Linked DNA regions of Oryctolagus cuniculus. The protein of the gene in region 1 interacts with the protein of each later gene in a pairwise test. Links are inferred from orthologs where the notes say so. Each region holds a gene or a part of one and is shown on either strand. Other genes may lie near its edges.

Region 1 (9,175 bases):
TGGGATGCCAGTGCTTCAGGCTAGTGTGTTAACTCGCTGTGCCCCCCCCCCCTTTTTTTAAGATTTAATTTACTTACTTGAAAGAGTTACAGAGTGAGACAGCTTCCATCTACTGGTTCACTCCCTCAAATGGTCCCAACATTGGAGCTGGGCTGGGCCAGGAGCCAGGAGCTTCATTCAGGTCTTCCTTGTGGGTACAGGGGCCCAAGGTCTTAGTCTCTTCCAATGTGATGCTCTTCCCAGGCCATTAGTATGGACTTCGATCAGATGTGGAGCAGCTTGAACCGAAGCCCACATGGGACGCCGGCACTGCAGGCAGCAGATCTACCCACCATGCCACGCAGGCCCTCATAAGCCATTTATTCAGCCAGACTTCGCCCCTTCCTGTGTGTGTGGCGTGGAGCCCACGCCCTGCGCCTGCTGCCTCACTCCCAGGCCAGTGGCCATGCTCCACCACTCTGCGGAGCCCAGGACCCCACTGCCCTGGGGTCACGGCCGCCACGAAACCACTACACATGCGCTAAGAAAACTCGGAAATTACCCAGAACTATGACGGGAAATTCACACCTAACTGTCACACGCTTACTATACCAGGAATACTCCTTCTGCCTTTTCAACACATGGTTTGCAAGGTAACCTTAAGCAGTTTGCTAACCTTTTCCCCTCATTGAAGTTAGCATCTACTGTCACTGGGAACTGTCCCCTAAATATCAGCAGCTATTTTATCTGCTATCTGGATAATTTGCTGACCCAGTTCTGAGTTTTCTTTTTTTCCTATTCTGATGTGGCCATGGACACCTATCTCCAAAATATTCATACTGATAAACACATAAATATTTGCTTGCAGTTTAAATGTTTTCCTTGGAATAGATTTCCATGTTGCGAAGGCTCTTTATATAATTCCTGACAAGACAGGCAAAGCCCAGTGAAACCTTTAGAAGCCTGAACACTGGAAACAAACTATCAAAACCAACGCACATAATCATAACAGAAAACAACCCAATGATGAGACAGCTCTGTGGAGTCTCCTTTGCAGGGGGAACTCAAGTGTAAAACTTCACCATCCGCAAACATCTGTGTCTCCTGCCAAGCCCGAGGCTCCAGGAGCACAGTGTCCTTGTCCGTCTTACCCGTCGTACCCGCACACGTTAGGTGCTCAGTAATTGCTGGGTAGATGGATGGGTGATCAACATGCCAATGAGAACTGGAAAGATGAAGACCAACCCACTTCCCACCACCAACTTCAGCAGAATTCATATCCACATTAGTTCCATTTATTCTTCATACAAATATTTTACAGTTTTATTTTTAAATCATTTACACATATTCATACAAAGAAAAATAAATTTCAGATGGAACCTGGGGCCCATGGTAGTTTAAAAAAAATCTCTCTGATCATTAGCTACTGAAGACAAGGCGGCAGGAGGCTTCGCAGTCACTGCCAGTGGTCATGCGTCTCCCCACGCAGGGCCGGGTGACAAGAATCCAGGCTACCTCGGCTTCCCTCCATCTTCACCTTGTGGAGGTAACATGAGGGGAGGGGGCTTGTCAACCCTCTCCCCCTGGAAATATTTCAAGAAGTATAGCAAAGGCTTATGGTAATACTGAACCCCCTCTCTGCTAGGAATTTGGCAAGATTACAATTTCTGAACCAACTTTCTAGAAGAGTTGGCCTGATTCCTACTCACAGTTCTTCCTAAGAGGGACTGCTGCATTCACCACGCTCCTCATCCCACTCGCTCCGTCCTCCCACCAAAGGCTCCAGGACGGAGTCCCTGATCTGATCCCATCAGTCCCCTATAGGCTCGTCCCCAAAATGAGCCTTCCTCCTATCCCACACCCAAACGCTCTCTGTAGCAACTGACCCAGCAGCTCCAGAGGAGCCCACGGGAACTCCCCCAGCATTACTGCAGCAGCATCCTATCAGGCGATCTAACTCACAGCCATGAGGTCCAAGAATGACAGAACTCTGTGTGCCCCTAACACAACTCCACTCTCCTCAGCCAGCTGCTAACATCCCATCCCGGAGTCGACGTCAGAGATGCACGATGAAGAACTGCCCACACACAATTGCCCAGGAAGGCTGGACTGTTACCAACTTCCAACAAAGCGGGGGAAAGGACAGACATGACAAATGTGGTGGACCCCACAGACACGGTGGCTGGTGACAGCCATCGGGTCCTACCCAAAAAGCAGCACCAGGAGAGGGCACGGTGAGCAGAGAGAGACCTGGGGCTGAACGTGCAGTCCCTGAATCACCAAAGGACTCAGAGACAACACAGTTCCTTTTCCCACGATTACGCAGGAACGACACGTGGACTCTGCACCCCTGCTCTGAGGCAGCTCCTGAGAGGCTGTCCCGCCAGCGATCATCAGCCCACCCCCTCGGTAGGCCCATTTGGGGGGAGGGAGTCACATCCCGAGCGGGGACCCCTCCAGCAGACACTCACAGGGCAGCCCATCCCACTGTCACTGGGGCAGGCCAAACATAGCTAGGAGGGCAGGCAGGTCCCGGGCATCAGCCGCCCCGTAGGCGTCACTCTGGCCCAACATGGACAACGCCAAACGCAGGGTGCTCCAGATGTTCTCGGACATGGCACCCCCTTCACCTCGAGGGCCTCGGCTTTTCCTCTGCATGTTCAGGGCCTCCAGAAAGTGTTCCACTGCCTCCCTGTGGGGAAAGGAGGAATGACCGCTTGTGAGCACAATGGAAGCAGGCAGGTCAGGTAGTCTTGGGAGACAGAAGGCTGCGAGGCTAGTTAGGATCAGAGGACGAGGGGCTAGGGCCAAGGCAGGAGAAACAGTGCGTTCATCCATTACTCCAGAGGTACTCTCACCGGTGAGCCCCAAGATTGATGCAGCTGATGCCCAGGTTATAGCGGGACCGGATATAGCCCGGCTGCAGTTCCAGGGCACGGCGGTACGCAGCCACGGCTTCTTCACTCTGGTTCCCATTGGCCAGGGTGGCCCCTAGCTTATTCCACAGCAAGTAGTCCTGGGAAAGGAGGGAGAAGGGGTTGGGAACATACAACTAGTGTGAGATCAAATTCTGCCCATTCCTCCACCTGCTCTGTTTAGCTAGCACATGTGACTATCCCATCGTGCTTCCTCACTGTGGCCACAGTGTAACCTCGTAACCTCTCCCTCCCCAGGCAGACTCCCTATGCCCAGATGACTCTGCACCCCCACCCTTCCTTCCGAACCCTCCCAAGGCAGGCAGTGCATGCAATGCTGGCCCATAATTATCTTGTGACTCCAAAATGCACAACAAATGGTCCTCCAGTAAGATACAGGGTCACATCCCATCCCCACCCCTGGCCTGAGGCTCACATCAGGACGCACGCTGAGGGCGGCTGTGAAGCAGTCCACGGCCTTGTCATACTCCCCACTCAGGTTGAAGAGGACTCCCAGGCCACACTGCACGTCAGGGTCGATGGACGTCGGGTCCAGGCGCACAGCTGCCAGGAAGAGCTCTTTCACTTCAAGAAATAGGGAGCTAGATGAGGAAGCACACACACCCCAAAACAATGTCAGTCCCCAAACAGCTCCTAAAAATTAGTCAATCACAGCCCCAGAATTCATCAACGTATCAGCCCTCCCTGCTACTCACAAACCCCAACTTAGAAGCCCATCTTCCTGTTTCATCCCAGCAGTGCACTGGGTACACGCAGACCTGGGCCTCCCTTCCCCCTCCTAGACCCTTGAGTCCCAGTCTGTCCAAACTTCCAAAATCAAGGCCACCTTCCTCCTGAGGCCCAGTTTCCAGTAATTAACCGTGCCAGGAAGCCCTCACACTCACTCAGACAACAGAGATCCCAGGAGGCGCTTGCTGGGACCCAGTCCTGCCCCGCCAGCCCCTTCTTCACCAGGCGCTACCAGATGTGCATAGGCTGGGGTGTAGCGCAGCCAGTCCCGCAGGGTCTCACAGGCCTGGCGCTGGAGGGACTCGTTGGTGAAGCTCACGGCTAGCGCCATCAGTGCTGTCCGGTTGTCTGGCTTTAGCTCCAGGCACCTGTTGGGCAGAGATGAGCACACTTGGTACCTGCAATGACACCGGCACCCAGCAGCAGTCTGGGATCCAAGCCAGATTTCGAAATGCAGTCACGACGGCTTCACCTGCCCAGGCTCCTCAGATTAAGACACAGAAACCTTCCGCCGTGAGAGCTAGTCACTTACAGGTCTAAGAAACGCAGCGCTCTAGCAGCGAGGGAACCCCAGAAGCCGCACTCTGGGCCTCAGTGCTGAGGAAACACTCTCGCCATCAGCCAGGGACACAGGGGCCAGGCCTGCGCTCCCGGCACCTTGGAGACCACCTGCAGAGCCCAGAACCACCTCGCTCCCACCCTCTGCGCACTCACCTCCGCAGCGCGCTGATGGCGAGGAGTTCTTGCTCGTTCTCTGCCTGGGTGGTGCCCAGATACTGCCACGCCTGCAGGGAAGTTGTCAGCTCCATCACCCTTCTGGTCTGCTGTCCCTCGTCCCTCCCCATCTCCCCCTAACCCCCATCCTGCCCCATGTGCACTCTGGGGCCGCCCTGAGAAGTCCTGTCTGAACTCGGGGTGAGCCACCCACTTCCATGTGCTTAGGGTCCTGCTGCACAGCGGCCTCGAAGAGCAGCACGGCATTCGGCAGGTCCCCTTCCTGAAGCCGCCGCAGCCCTTCTTCAAAAGGCTGAGGGTGGTCGCGCAGGGGGTTCTCTTCCTCAAACTGGTACCCCTGCAGGGAAGCAAGCACATGGGAAATGGTCTGAGAGGGAGCCACCCGGACCACGGCAGCAGGCACGCAAGGACGACAACCAGGGCAGAGCTGGAAAAGGCGGAGGCTTCCACGCAGGGACCAGAACCAAAGGCTGGCAGAGTCTCTGTGCTGGTCTCACAAAGACCACCCAGGACGACAGAAAGACCACTCAGCCTCACACCCGGGCTGCCAACTCCCGCTCACAGTAACCGGCTGCCAGGCAAGCCTACAGACTGCTCCACACTGGCAGCAGGCCTGTCATTAGGAAGTCCTCAGGCGCCCACAGTGCTACCTCGTTCGCTGACTTTTTACTCTACGGCAGAACAGGTTTCTTAGTAGGACCTGTTGAAAGGAATGAGATAAACCCTCCTTAGCTGTTCTAAGCGCACTTCTCGTTATTCCTAAATAATGCGATAACATAAAAAGGAAATGAAATTTGGAGTCAGAAGCTCTGAAATTCAAATGCAACTCTACCTGGCTCCCTGGGGTCACTGTGTGCACTAAGATGCATACAAGCACTTCAAAAACCTTAACTTATTCCAATTGCATTCTTTTCTCCCGCCAATTTCATTTTTAATAATTCTGAATATTAATCTGTGACCTGAACAGAAGTCAGAACTCGCTCCCAAAACACGTCTACAAGACACTGTCCTCTCCCAGCTGAGGATCTGTCATTCAAGAGAAGAGTTATGACGCCAAGAGTTTCGTCGGCTGGCACTTCAGCAAGGGGGGTAATAAGGTAAGACGCAAATCACTAGGAAGCCCTATGTCTTGGGACAAGTAAATAAAATGTTCCTTTTGCAATGAGTAAATAAATTCCATCACAAAGCAATATACCACAAGATATAAAATATTTCTAAGTCTGGTAAGGACAAATTAGAATAAACGAGGCCTGGGGCCAGGGCTGTGGCGCAGTGGGTAAAGCCGCCATCTGCAGTGCCAGCATCCCATGTGGGCACCAATTTGAGTCCTGGCTGGTCCACTTCTGATCCAGCTCTCTGTTATGGCCTGGGAAAGCAGCAGAAGATGGCCCTAGTCCCTGGGACCCTGTACCTAAAGAAGCTCCTGGTTCCTGGCTTCGGATTGGCGCAGCTCCGGCCGTTGCAGCCATTTGAGGAGTGAACCAGCAGATGGAAGACCTCTCTCTATCTCTGCCTCTGCCTCTCTGTCACCCTGCCTTTCAAATAAATAAATAAACCTTAAAAAAAAAGAATAAACAAGGCCTTTTTCATTTTTATTGTGAAATGTAAAGAATCAGAAACACACCCCATCAGCAACACTCTAAACTCTCAGAAGTAAATTGTTTGTCACAAAGGAAAACTGGACAGCTACCCTGGGAGTATAGGAAGGGAGAGAGATACATTATAGGAGACAGATCTGAGCTAAGCATTTTATAAACAGTATACTCGTGAAAAACAGTCAGGTTCTTGAGACATCTCTGTGCAGTTTAAAAACTCGGAAGGCAGAAAACGAACCTACTCCACGGATCAGCAAACTTTTTCTATAAAAAGACCTGCTTCGCAGGTCTGCCGCAACTACTCAACTCAAGCGTCACAGCACGCGTGCACCAGACAGCACGTAACCAAATAAGCATGGCTGCGTTCCAACCAAACTTTATGGACACTGAAATGTGAATTTCATAATTTTCATGTGACACAAAATATTGCTTTTTTCAACCATTTAAAATCATTCTCAGCTAATGGCCATACAGAATGAAGTATCAAGCAGATTTACTCCAAAGGCCAAAGACTGCCAACCCTTTATGAGAATCAGTAACATCAATCCTGGGGCAGCACTGTGGCTCAGTGGGTAAAACCGCCGCCTGCGATGCTGGCATCTCATAAGGGTGCCGGTTCTTGTCCCGGCTGCTCCACTTCTGATAGAGCTCCCCACTAATGACCTGAGAAAAGCAACAGAAGATGGCCCAAGTGTTTGGGTCCCTGCCACCCACTTGGGAGACCTAGGTGAAGCTCCTGGCTCCTGCTTTTGGTCTGGCCCAGCCCTGCCACTGCATCCAGGGAGTAAACCACCAGATAGAAGATCTCTCCCTCTCTGTAACTCTTTCAAATAAATAAAGAAATCTTAATAAAAAGTAAATAAAATAAATAGATCATTCTACCTCATCTACTGCCCAGCATTAATCCATGCATTAAACCACGCTGAAAGAGACAGATTACTGTCATCTACAACATAATTTCCTAAGGAACGTAATTCCTGCCTTTCAGAGCTACTAACATGATCAAGTATGAGATCCACACTTTTTGAAAGTATTGACATATAACTAGTATTATTTAGTGTAAAGCCAATAGAAAGGATAGCATTTTTTATGGAAAATTAATGCAATTAATGTTTCTAATCCTAACTATTCTAAGGCATAACCTCAAACAGGGTTTAAGAATCTACAAACATAATTTTTAACTAAAAATTATTCTGCATGTCATAAATGTAACTGTAATACCAGTAAATAACAGGAAATGCTGTGTATACGAAATTAACATTTTGTCTACGTTTATCAACAGCATGGACATTTTTATGTAAAAGGTACAACTTGCCACAAAGTCAATGAGCTCTATGAAGCTTACCAAACTGTCAGTAAATGAAGACTGGATAAAGAAATCATGGGATATGTCACTATGGAATACTACACAGTGGTTAAAAAAATGAAAAATAAAAAAAAATGAAAATCAGACATCTACAATAAAGTGGATGAATCTGGAAAACATCATGCTTAGTGAAATAAGCCAGGGACAAAGATCACATGTTCTCTCTGACCTGTGGTAACTAATAGAGCACCTAAAAGGCAAACTGTATACATGAAATTGACACTTTGAGAAGCAATAGCTAGAACAGCCATTTTGTTTTGACTGTTGAGGAACAATTTTGGGTTTTTTTATACTATTTGTTGAACTCTTTAATTAAAGTTAAACGTGTGTATAAAGTCAATTGAAAATAGATCTCAGTAAAAAATAAGAGTGGGAATAAGAGAGAGAGGAGGAGGAGGGTTTGGGAGTATGGGTGAGAGGGTGGGCATGGTGGGAAGAATCACCATGTTCCTAAAGTTGTAATTAGGAAGTGTATGAAGTTTGCAACTGTAAAGCTGTATAGTTCTGCATGCATTCCTAAGGACTTACTTCTAAAGGTACAATTTAAAAACTTGCCATGGAACCCCAAAGACCCTTAAGCTGGGTGGTAAAAATACCATCTTAATTGTTAAAATGATCATATGGATAAGATTAAGGGTCTGGTAAAAATAATAGATAGAATTAAAAAGGAGTGAATGCTACAAAGTTAACTGAAAATGAATCTTAGTGGAGAATGGGACCGGGAAGGGGAGGGGGAGGAGGAAGAAGGGTGGGAGGACGGGTATGGTGGGAAGAATAACTATATTCCTTGGGCCGGCGCTGTGGTGTAGTGGGTAAAGCTGCCACCTGCAGTGCCAGCATCCCATATGGGTGCCAGTTCAAGTTCCAGCTGTTCCACTTCTGATCCAGCTCTCTGCTATGGCCTGGGAGAGCAGTGGAAGATGGCCCAAGTCTTTGGGTCCCTGCACCCGCGTGGGAGACATGGAAGAAGCTCCTGGCTTTGGATAGGCAAAGCTTCAGCCATTGCAGCCAATTGGGGAGTGAACCAACAGATGGAAGACACCTCTCTCTCCCTCTCTGCCTCTCCTTCTCTATATAACTCTGACTTTCAAATAAATACATCTTTTTTTTAAAAAAGAGCCTCGGGTGATCACTGACATCATATATAAGAGAGTTAAATGTTAAATTAACAACAACAAGTCACTGTGCACTAACTTCCCATGCAGGACCTCTGTCCTCAAGGAGTTGTATTATAACTATAGTTAAGTGCTCCCAAAAGATGTATCATTCTTGGGTGCTTCATTAAAGTTAATTAAGTTTGTAAGAAAAAAAAAAAAGTGAAATTAACTTCAAGAAACAACGATTTTAAACAGCCCTTGTCTGGACTGTTGAAGAACAGTTTTGGTTTGGTTTGGATTGGTTTTGGGTTTTTTTTGTGCAAATTGTTGAATTCTTCACTTAGTATGGAGTTGGTCTTCTGTGTATAGTTAATCAAAAATGGATCTTAGTGGAGAATGGGACTGAGAATAATAGGAGAGGGAGAAGGGGTGGGAGGGCAGGTATGGTGGGAAGAATCATTATATTCCTAATGTTGTACTTAGGAAATGCATGAAGTCTGTATTCCTTAAATAAAAGGTTTCTTTGTTGGGGGGGGGGGGGGGGATTAAAAATTTTTTAAATTGTTCAGTATAAAATAATGAAAGCATTATCTCTATCTTTCAGGCTTTCCTTATTGGTATTCTATCTTTCACACATCCATTTGTTCACTTACTCATCTGAAATGTAGAGCAACAGAGAAAGCCAGAGATCTTCCATCCGCTGTTCACTCCCCAAAGGGCAAAGCCAGCCAGGGGTGG
Region 2 (7,418 bases), on another chromosome or scaffold:
GAGCTCCCAGCTCCTGGCTTCAACCCCTTGGCTGCTGTGGGCACCGGGCCATGAATCAGCGGATGAGAGATTTCTTTCTCCATCTGTTTGTCAAATAAAACTTTTTTTTTAAAGATTTATTTATTTACTTGAGAGTCACTGTTATAAACAGAGAGAGGAAGAGACAGAGAGAGGTATTCCATCTGCTGGTTCACTCCCCAAATGGCCGCAATGGCTGAGCTAGGCTGATCTGAAGCCAGGAGCCAGGAGCTTCTTCCAGGTCTCCCAAGCAGGTGCCGGGACCCAAGTGCTTGGCCCAGCTTCCACTGCTTTCCCAGGCCATAGTAGAGAGCTGGGCTGGAAATGGAGCAGCCGGGACTTGAACCAGCACCCAAATGAGATGCCAGTGCCACAAGCAGATGGCTAATCTATGCCACAGCGCTGGCCCCCAAATAAAATTTTTGAAAAGTAAGACGTTAGGGCCAGTGTGCTGCTGCATTGGGTTAAGCCGCTGCCTGTGACGCCAGCATCCTATATGGCACCACTTCGAGTCTCAGCTGCTCCATTCTGATCCAGCTCCCTGCCAACGTGCCTGGGAGAGCCGAAGATGGCCCAAGTGCTTGGATGGGGCCCCAGGCTCCAGGCTTCAGCCTGCCCCAGCCCTGGCCATTGTGTAAACCAGAGGATGGAAGACCTCTCTCTTTCTCTCTCTGTAACTATGCCTTTCAAATTCATAATTTCTTTAAAAACAGTAAAAATACTACTAATGATTAAATAACTAAAGGTCAGAGGAGTGTGGGCTCCAAGCAGGGCTGGGCCCGGGACGGCAGGACTCGCTCCAGGTCCCTGGCCAGCTCGCCTCCTCCTCGGGCCTGGGGTGTCTTCTCTGACCAGTGCTGATGGACCCCGGCAGCTGGCCAGGCTGCGCGGGCACTCGGGGATGGCGGCCTGGAGGTGGCTGCAGCAGTGCCTAGCACGCGACAGCGTCATAGGAGCCCCTGCTGTTCACTGGGTCTGCGCCTGACCGCCTGCTGGCACCTGTGGCTGCCACACCTGTGACGCGCCAGGGCTCTGCCCATGCCTTGCACAAGCTCCTCTCCGCTCACCGGCTTTTCTGGTTCCCTGCCCCACTCCCGCCCAGACCTGCGACATCGGCACTGGCAGCCCAGTGCAGTGAAGGGCCCCAGAGCATGGCCCCCCGGCGGCTGGCCCAAAGCAAGAACAAATCACAGTGGGGTGGGCATTTGGATCCTGCTCGGGACACCTGCTTCCCACAGGGGAGTGCCTGGGTTTGAGTCTGGGCTCTGCTTCTAATGCCAGCTTCCTGCTCACACACACTCGAGTCTCCTGGCTTCAGCCTGGTCCAGCCCTGCCTGGCTGTGTGGGCATCTGGGCATGGGCCAGCAGATGGAAGATCTCTGTCTTTCTGCCTTTCAAATCAACCAAAATCAATGACGAAGATCTTCAGGAAAAATCATTATGCAGAAGCTCCGCCTCCTTCCCTGGGGAACCTGTGCGTGCTTCAACGTCCTTCGGGCCATCCTGTCGTTATGCATTTATTTACTGTTTTGGTAAAGATTTTTTTTTTTTTTTGACAGGCAGAGTGGACAGTGAGAGAGAGACAGAGAGAAAGGTCTTCCTTTGCCATTGGTTCACCCTCCAATGGCCGCTGCGGCCGGCGTACCGCGCTGATCCAAAGGCAGGAGCCAGGTACTTCTCCTGGTCTCCCATGTGGGTGCAGGGCCCAAGCACTTGGGCCATCCTCCACTGCACTCCCTGGCCACAGCAGAAAGCTGGCCTGGAAGAGGGGCAGCCGGGACAGAATCCGGCGCCCCGACCGGGACTAGAACCCGGTGTGCCGGTGCCGCAAGGCGGAAGATTAGCCTAGTGAGCCGCGGTAAAGATTTATTTATTTATTTGAAAGTCAGAGTTGCAGAGAGAGAGAGGTCTTCCATCTGCTGGTTCACTCCCCAGATGGCCACCAATGGCCAGGGCTGAGCCACACCTAAGCCAAGAGTCAGGAACTTCTTCTGGGTCTCCCATATGGGTAACAGGAGCCCAAGCACTTGGGCCATCTTCTACTGCTTTCCCAGGCACATTAGCAGGGAGCCGGATCAGAAGTGGAGCAGCCAGGACTTGAACCCATAACCATATGGGATGCCGGCACTGCAGACAATGGCTTAACCTGCTGTGCCACAGTGCCGGCCCCTGTGGTTTTTTATAATCACAGGAAACAGCGGCTACCTCAGTAGCTGCCCGACCTGGACCTGACGCCTGCTCCTCACGGCAACCTGGGGTGGGGGGGCAGGTGCTGGTAGCACCGCATTTTCTTCAGACCAGGAGACTAGGATGACAATGTTTATGGCATGGCAAAGGGTGACTGTTTGCCAGGAAGCCGCTTTGAGTCCCGGCAACTCCACACTTCCGATCCAGCTTCCTGCCGATGCTTCTGGGAGGCGGCAGATGATGGTGCAAGTCCTGGAGCTGCTGCCACCCACATGGGAGACCCCGATGGAGCTCCTGGCTCCTGACCTAGGCCTGGTCCAGCCCTGGCTGCTGTGGGCATCTTGGGAATGAACCAACTGCAGGGAAGAGGTCTCCCAGTCTGTCTCTCAAATAAAATGAAAACACATTTAAGATATTTTAAAATAGATAATAAATAAATTAACAACCTGTGCCCAAATCTCATGCTGATTTGGGAACCATCCCTGCAGCCCAGCACAAGAAAATGTAATTGCAACTAAGCTGCTCAAACAAGAAATTCACCAGTGATGGATATAACCATGTCCCAGCATGTTAGATATAACTGTGTCATGGAATCTGGAGTTTGCACAACCCCCTATTGCTACACGCCAATACCCAGAGCACAGTGCAAACTGACTCGAAACACACACACAGGCCTGTGAGAGCCATTTTCAGAAGAAAAGATGATAAACAGAGACGGGCCACAAGAAGACCCAGATGTCAGACCTGGGAGAATGGGATTTTAAAGCAGCCCTTACAACTACACTCACAGGGGCTGGCGCTGTGGCACAGCAGGGTAAGCCTCGGCCTGCGGCACCAGCATCCCATAGAGGTGAGGGTTCGAGTCCCGGCTGCTTTTCCGATCCAGCTCCTGCTAATGCATGGAGGAAAGCAGTGGAAGATGGCCCAAGTGCTTGGGCCCCTGCACCCATGTGGGAGACCCAGAGGAAGCTCCTGGCTCCTGGCTTTGGCCTGGCCTAACCCCAGTGGTTGGGGCCATTTTGGGGAGCGAACACAGCAAAAGGAAGACCTTACTCTCTCCTCCTCTTCTATAAATAAAATAAATCTTAAACAAAAAGAAAAATTAAAAAAAAAAAGCTCATGACAAACAGAAAGGAAACTTCAGCACAGAAATAGAAAATTTTTAAAATAAACCCCATGGAAATCAGAACGGACAGCTGAAATGCGAAGAATGCAGGCGAGCCCAGCAGGCGAGGGTGTGGGAGCGCCAGGCCAACTCGGCTACAGGCTCTCAGAGGTCAAGGACACAGGGCCAGGGCTGGGAGCCCACGCGCTTCTGCTCCTGGCTACAGGCTCTCAGAGGTCAAGGACACAGGGCCAGGGCTGGGAGCCCACGCGCTTCTGCTCCTGGCTACAGGCTCTCAGAGGTCAAGGACACAGGGCCAGGGCTGGGAGCCCACGCACTTCTGCTCCTGGCTACAGGCTCTCAGAGGTCAAAGACGCAGGGCCAGGGCTGGGAGCCCACGCGCTTCTGCTCCTGGCTACAGGCTCTCAGAGGTCAAGGCTACTTTCCAGAGCTGAATGCCTTAAGTGAGGACTTCAAGAAAGAAAGGATCGAGGCGCTAGTTGGAAGCGCGGCTCTGTGGCCAGGCGCGGGGAGGCGGGGTGCGCGGCGCCGCAGGTACCTGACGAGAACATCTTCCCCGCCCCGGAGATCACCACGGCCCGGCACTCGGAGTCTTGCGCTATTTTGTTGAAGCACTCCACCATCTCGCTGCGGAGGAGCCAGGGATGAGGGGCCGCACCGGCTCACGGCCATCCGTCTGTCCCCCACCCCGGCCACCCCGAGGGCCGCCAGACCTCCAGAAAGCCTTGTTCATGGCATTCCTCCTGTCGGGCCGGTGCAGCTGCACATGCAGGACATGCTTCTGGGCGGCCGTCACCAGGAGGGACTCGTAGCTGTGGCCCGGGGCTTCGCAGGGGGCTGCTCTGGGGGCCTCGCCGTGGGCGGAGGTGCCCAGCGGGCGGAGGCCAAGGCTGAAGCCCGGGCAGCTGGGAGCTGCCAGTCCTAGGGAGACAGAGGAAGGAAGGGCCTCTGAGGACCCCCGAGGGGGCACACAGCGCTTCTGAGAGCAGAGGGCGCACCAGGGCCCCACAGGCGGGGAACACGGCCCCTCAGAGACTTGGGTTTAACATCAGGGTGCACTGCTCAGTGGTTCCAGACCCATGGGGACATGGAGTCATCAGTGCCCCCAGACTGTAATGAGTAACCCTTTAGGCGGGGGCGCGAGGACCCTCCGTGACCCCGAGTGGTCCTACAGCCGCTTGGACAGCACAACAGATCCCCACAGGTCAGGAAGTGACTCACGCCGCATCAGCAGGTCGCGGAGACCGCGAGTGGCCGCCATCGCCGTCGCCATCGGGACCGAGTCGTGGAACCCGGCGGGAGGAAGCCAAGGGGCGGGCCCAAGAGGCCGCCATGTCAGGTGAGGGCACGGAAGCCGCAGTGGAACAGCCCTAAAGCGCCCCTTCCGCCATCTTTACTAAGGGCAACCAGCAACAGCGCCGCAAGCCGGCCGGCATGCTGAGGCTTAAGCGTTAAAACTTTGTCCCAGTGGGAACCGTGCCCGAGGAAACAACTGTTATGACTGCGGGGTAAAGTTTATCACAGCCCGGTCCTGTGTCCAAGGACGCAATGGCCGCAGTCACTTCATGTTAACTGGTGAAGAGATCATGCGGTAAAGGCACGGGATCACAGGCGGGCTGCGGGATCTAGGCAGCGGGCGTCTAGCTCAAGGACGCGGGCGCAGAAAGAGCCCTCGGAAAACGCCCGGAAATGCCAGGGGCTGCGGGCCAGTGGGTGGAGGGGACGCTGCTTAACGCGCATGTCTCCTGATTTTAGCCCGGATAGGCAGGCTCTGCCGTGGGGGACAGTCCGCAGGGCCACTGGAGCACACTGGACCTCCTACCCAGACTTCCAAGATGTGACAGGATACAACTTTAGGACATTTGGTAGGATGCTTCGCTGTAAAAGGTTAGGTTGCACACACATGGGATGTTGTCCCTGCAAGGAGTGCTAACAGGAGATGAAACTGCGCCCCAGGGCATACTGGGAAAACACTGATCCTGGGGCAGAGCAGGTTAGGGGGCCTCCTGCAGCACCTGCATCCCATAGTTACTGGTTGAGTCCCGGCTGCTCCACTTCAGATCCAGCTCCCTACTAGTGTGCAGAGAGCAGCGGAGGCTGGCCCAAGTGCTTGCACTCCACCTGTGTGACAGACCCCGATGAAACTCCTGGCTGGCCCAGCCCTGGCCACTGCAGCCATTTGGGGAGTGAACCAACAAAGTCTCTCCCTTCCTGTTAAACAAAAAACCTATTCTTTTGCACAGCAAGGTTAACAGCATATTGTCTATTTCCAAACAGCTAAGGTGGTTCTGGAACGTTTTCATCACAAAATTATGGTAATATATATATACCAATTAAGCTGACTTGATCATCAGACAATGTGTCTTTATCAAAGCATTACATAAAGGGGCTGGCACTGTGGCACAGCAGGTAAAGCCACAGCCTGCAGCGCCAGCATCCCATATGGGCACCAGTCCTGGCTGCTTCCGATCCAGCTGCTATGGCCTGGGAAAGCAGAAGATGGCCCAAGTCCTTGGGCCCCTGGGCCCACGTGGGAGATCCACAAGAAGCTCCTGGCTCCCGGCTTCAGATCAGCACAGCTCCAGCCATTGTGGCCAATTGGGGAGTAAACCAGTGGATGGAAAACCTCTCTCTCTGCCTCTCCTGTTAACTCTTACTATCAAATACATAAATAAATCTTTAAAAAAAATAAACCTCACATAAGAAGTAAAAGCCAACGCTAGTGGGTTTCCAAGTTTATGGCAGCAAGGTGACTGTAGTCTCTCCTCATCCAGAGGTTTCAAACTCCCCTGGCGAAGCCGCTCTCCGACAGAAGCCATCTGGCTTCAGATGCCAAGTGTTAAGTTTCAAAACGTCCTTACAGGAAGCTCACAAAACAAGTGTTCAAGTACATGTAGTGAACCCCAAGGTGAAGCTGTGACCCCCTCCTCTGCAGGCCACATCTCTGTGTAGGTCAAAGTCCTTAAGCCAAGTTCATGTCAGACTGCACCGCACCCCCCACGAGCCAGCCATCTTTACAGGTTCCCATCTTCAAGCGGGAGGGAGGGGGATGACACAACGTCCCGTTGCCACTGCTGCCCCAGCCTTCAGCCCACGCCACCAGCAGGAGTTTGCGTCCAGAGTAGCATCAGGGTAGCAGGCTGCTCGTAGACACACTGCAGTGCTGCTGCGGTAGCCACACACCTCGGAACACCTTTACGACGGGGTTAAGTAAATGACAGTGGCAAGGGTAAGGAAGCCAGCTCAGAACGTGGAAGACAGGACACCATACAATGCCAAGAACATTCTTTTCAGGGAAAAATTCACAAAAAACTGCTAACCTCAAACTTACTAAATAGCAGGTGTTCACTTTTTAGAATTAAGGCCCATTATGGGGTCTCTCTGGAAGTTTTAAATTTTTAACACCATTCACTTTTTATTTTCATTTTATTTCAAAGATGGATACAGACCTCCTTCCTATCCACTGGTTCATTTTCTAGAGGCCCAGGAATCAACCTTGGTCTCCCCCATGGGTGGCAAGGGCCAAGCACTCGGGCCACCATCTGCTGCCTCCCAGGGTGTACATTTGCAGGAAGCTGGATGCAAAGTGGAGTGGCCAGAACTCCACGCAGGCATCTCAAGTGGTGACAACCACGTGCTGTACACCCAGCCTGCCATTTCCCTCACGCCACTCTGGAGCTAGGCCCTGGCTTGGGCAGGGCCCACTAACAACGCCACCGGGCCTGCCAGACTTCTCGCCAAACGGCTCCACTCCAGCGTCAATCCTGAGTCTGCACCCTGGCCTGCCTGCACCTCTGCAGAAGACTGAGTGGGAGGGAGGGAGGCACCATGTCCTGACACCCCAGCAAGTTTGGTCTTTATTTTCCAAACAATTTTTATTGAAATGTGCCAAGAGTACATGGGCAGCACAAATGTATGAACAGGAAAAAAAAATCACATGTACAATAATTTTTAAAAAGTGAAGGTTAATCTTGGGAGACATCAGTTCCCCCTCCCTCCCCCTCCAGCGTTTCCGTTATGGTTAAGCCTCTACTAACCTAGCATTAAAAAAAAAAAAAAAGGAATACGAGAACTTCTGCCAAAGGAA

What was found.
Region 2: the proteins of PEX5 (region 1) and ECH1 interact in a two-hybrid assay, tested with the Homo sapiens proteins (2 studies listed by BioGRID and IntAct, with this or other methods). The link is inferred for Oryctolagus cuniculus from reciprocal best matches to the Homo sapiens genes PEX5 and ECH1.

What each region holds. Positions count from the first base shown.
Region 1 is NC_091440.1:102,353,930-102,363,104, forward strand, and holds the end of PEX5 (peroxisomal biogenesis factor 5), read right to left. Parts: intron 4,717-9,175; coding exon 4,573-4,716; intron 4,430-4,572; coding exon 4,359-4,429; intron 4,013-4,358; coding exon 3,800-4,012; intron 3,497-3,799; coding exon 3,331-3,496; intron 2,996-3,330; coding exon 2,838-2,995; intron 2,672-2,837; coding exon 2,470-2,671; 3' UTR 2,451-2,469; exon of another isoform or gene 1,517-2,450; 3' UTR 1,259-1,516; downstream 1-1,258.
Region 2 is NC_091449.1:15,908,402-15,915,819, reverse strand, and holds the start of ECH1 (delta(3,5)-Delta(2,4)-dienoyl-CoA isomerase, mitochondrial), read right to left. Parts: upstream 5,893-7,418; 5' UTR 4,605-5,892; coding exon 4,553-4,604; intron 4,253-4,552; coding exon 4,045-4,252; intron 3,959-4,044; coding exon 3,870-3,958; intron 1-3,869. UniProt on the Homo sapiens protein: Isomerization of 3-trans,5-cis-dienoyl-CoA to 2-trans,4-trans-dienoyl-CoA.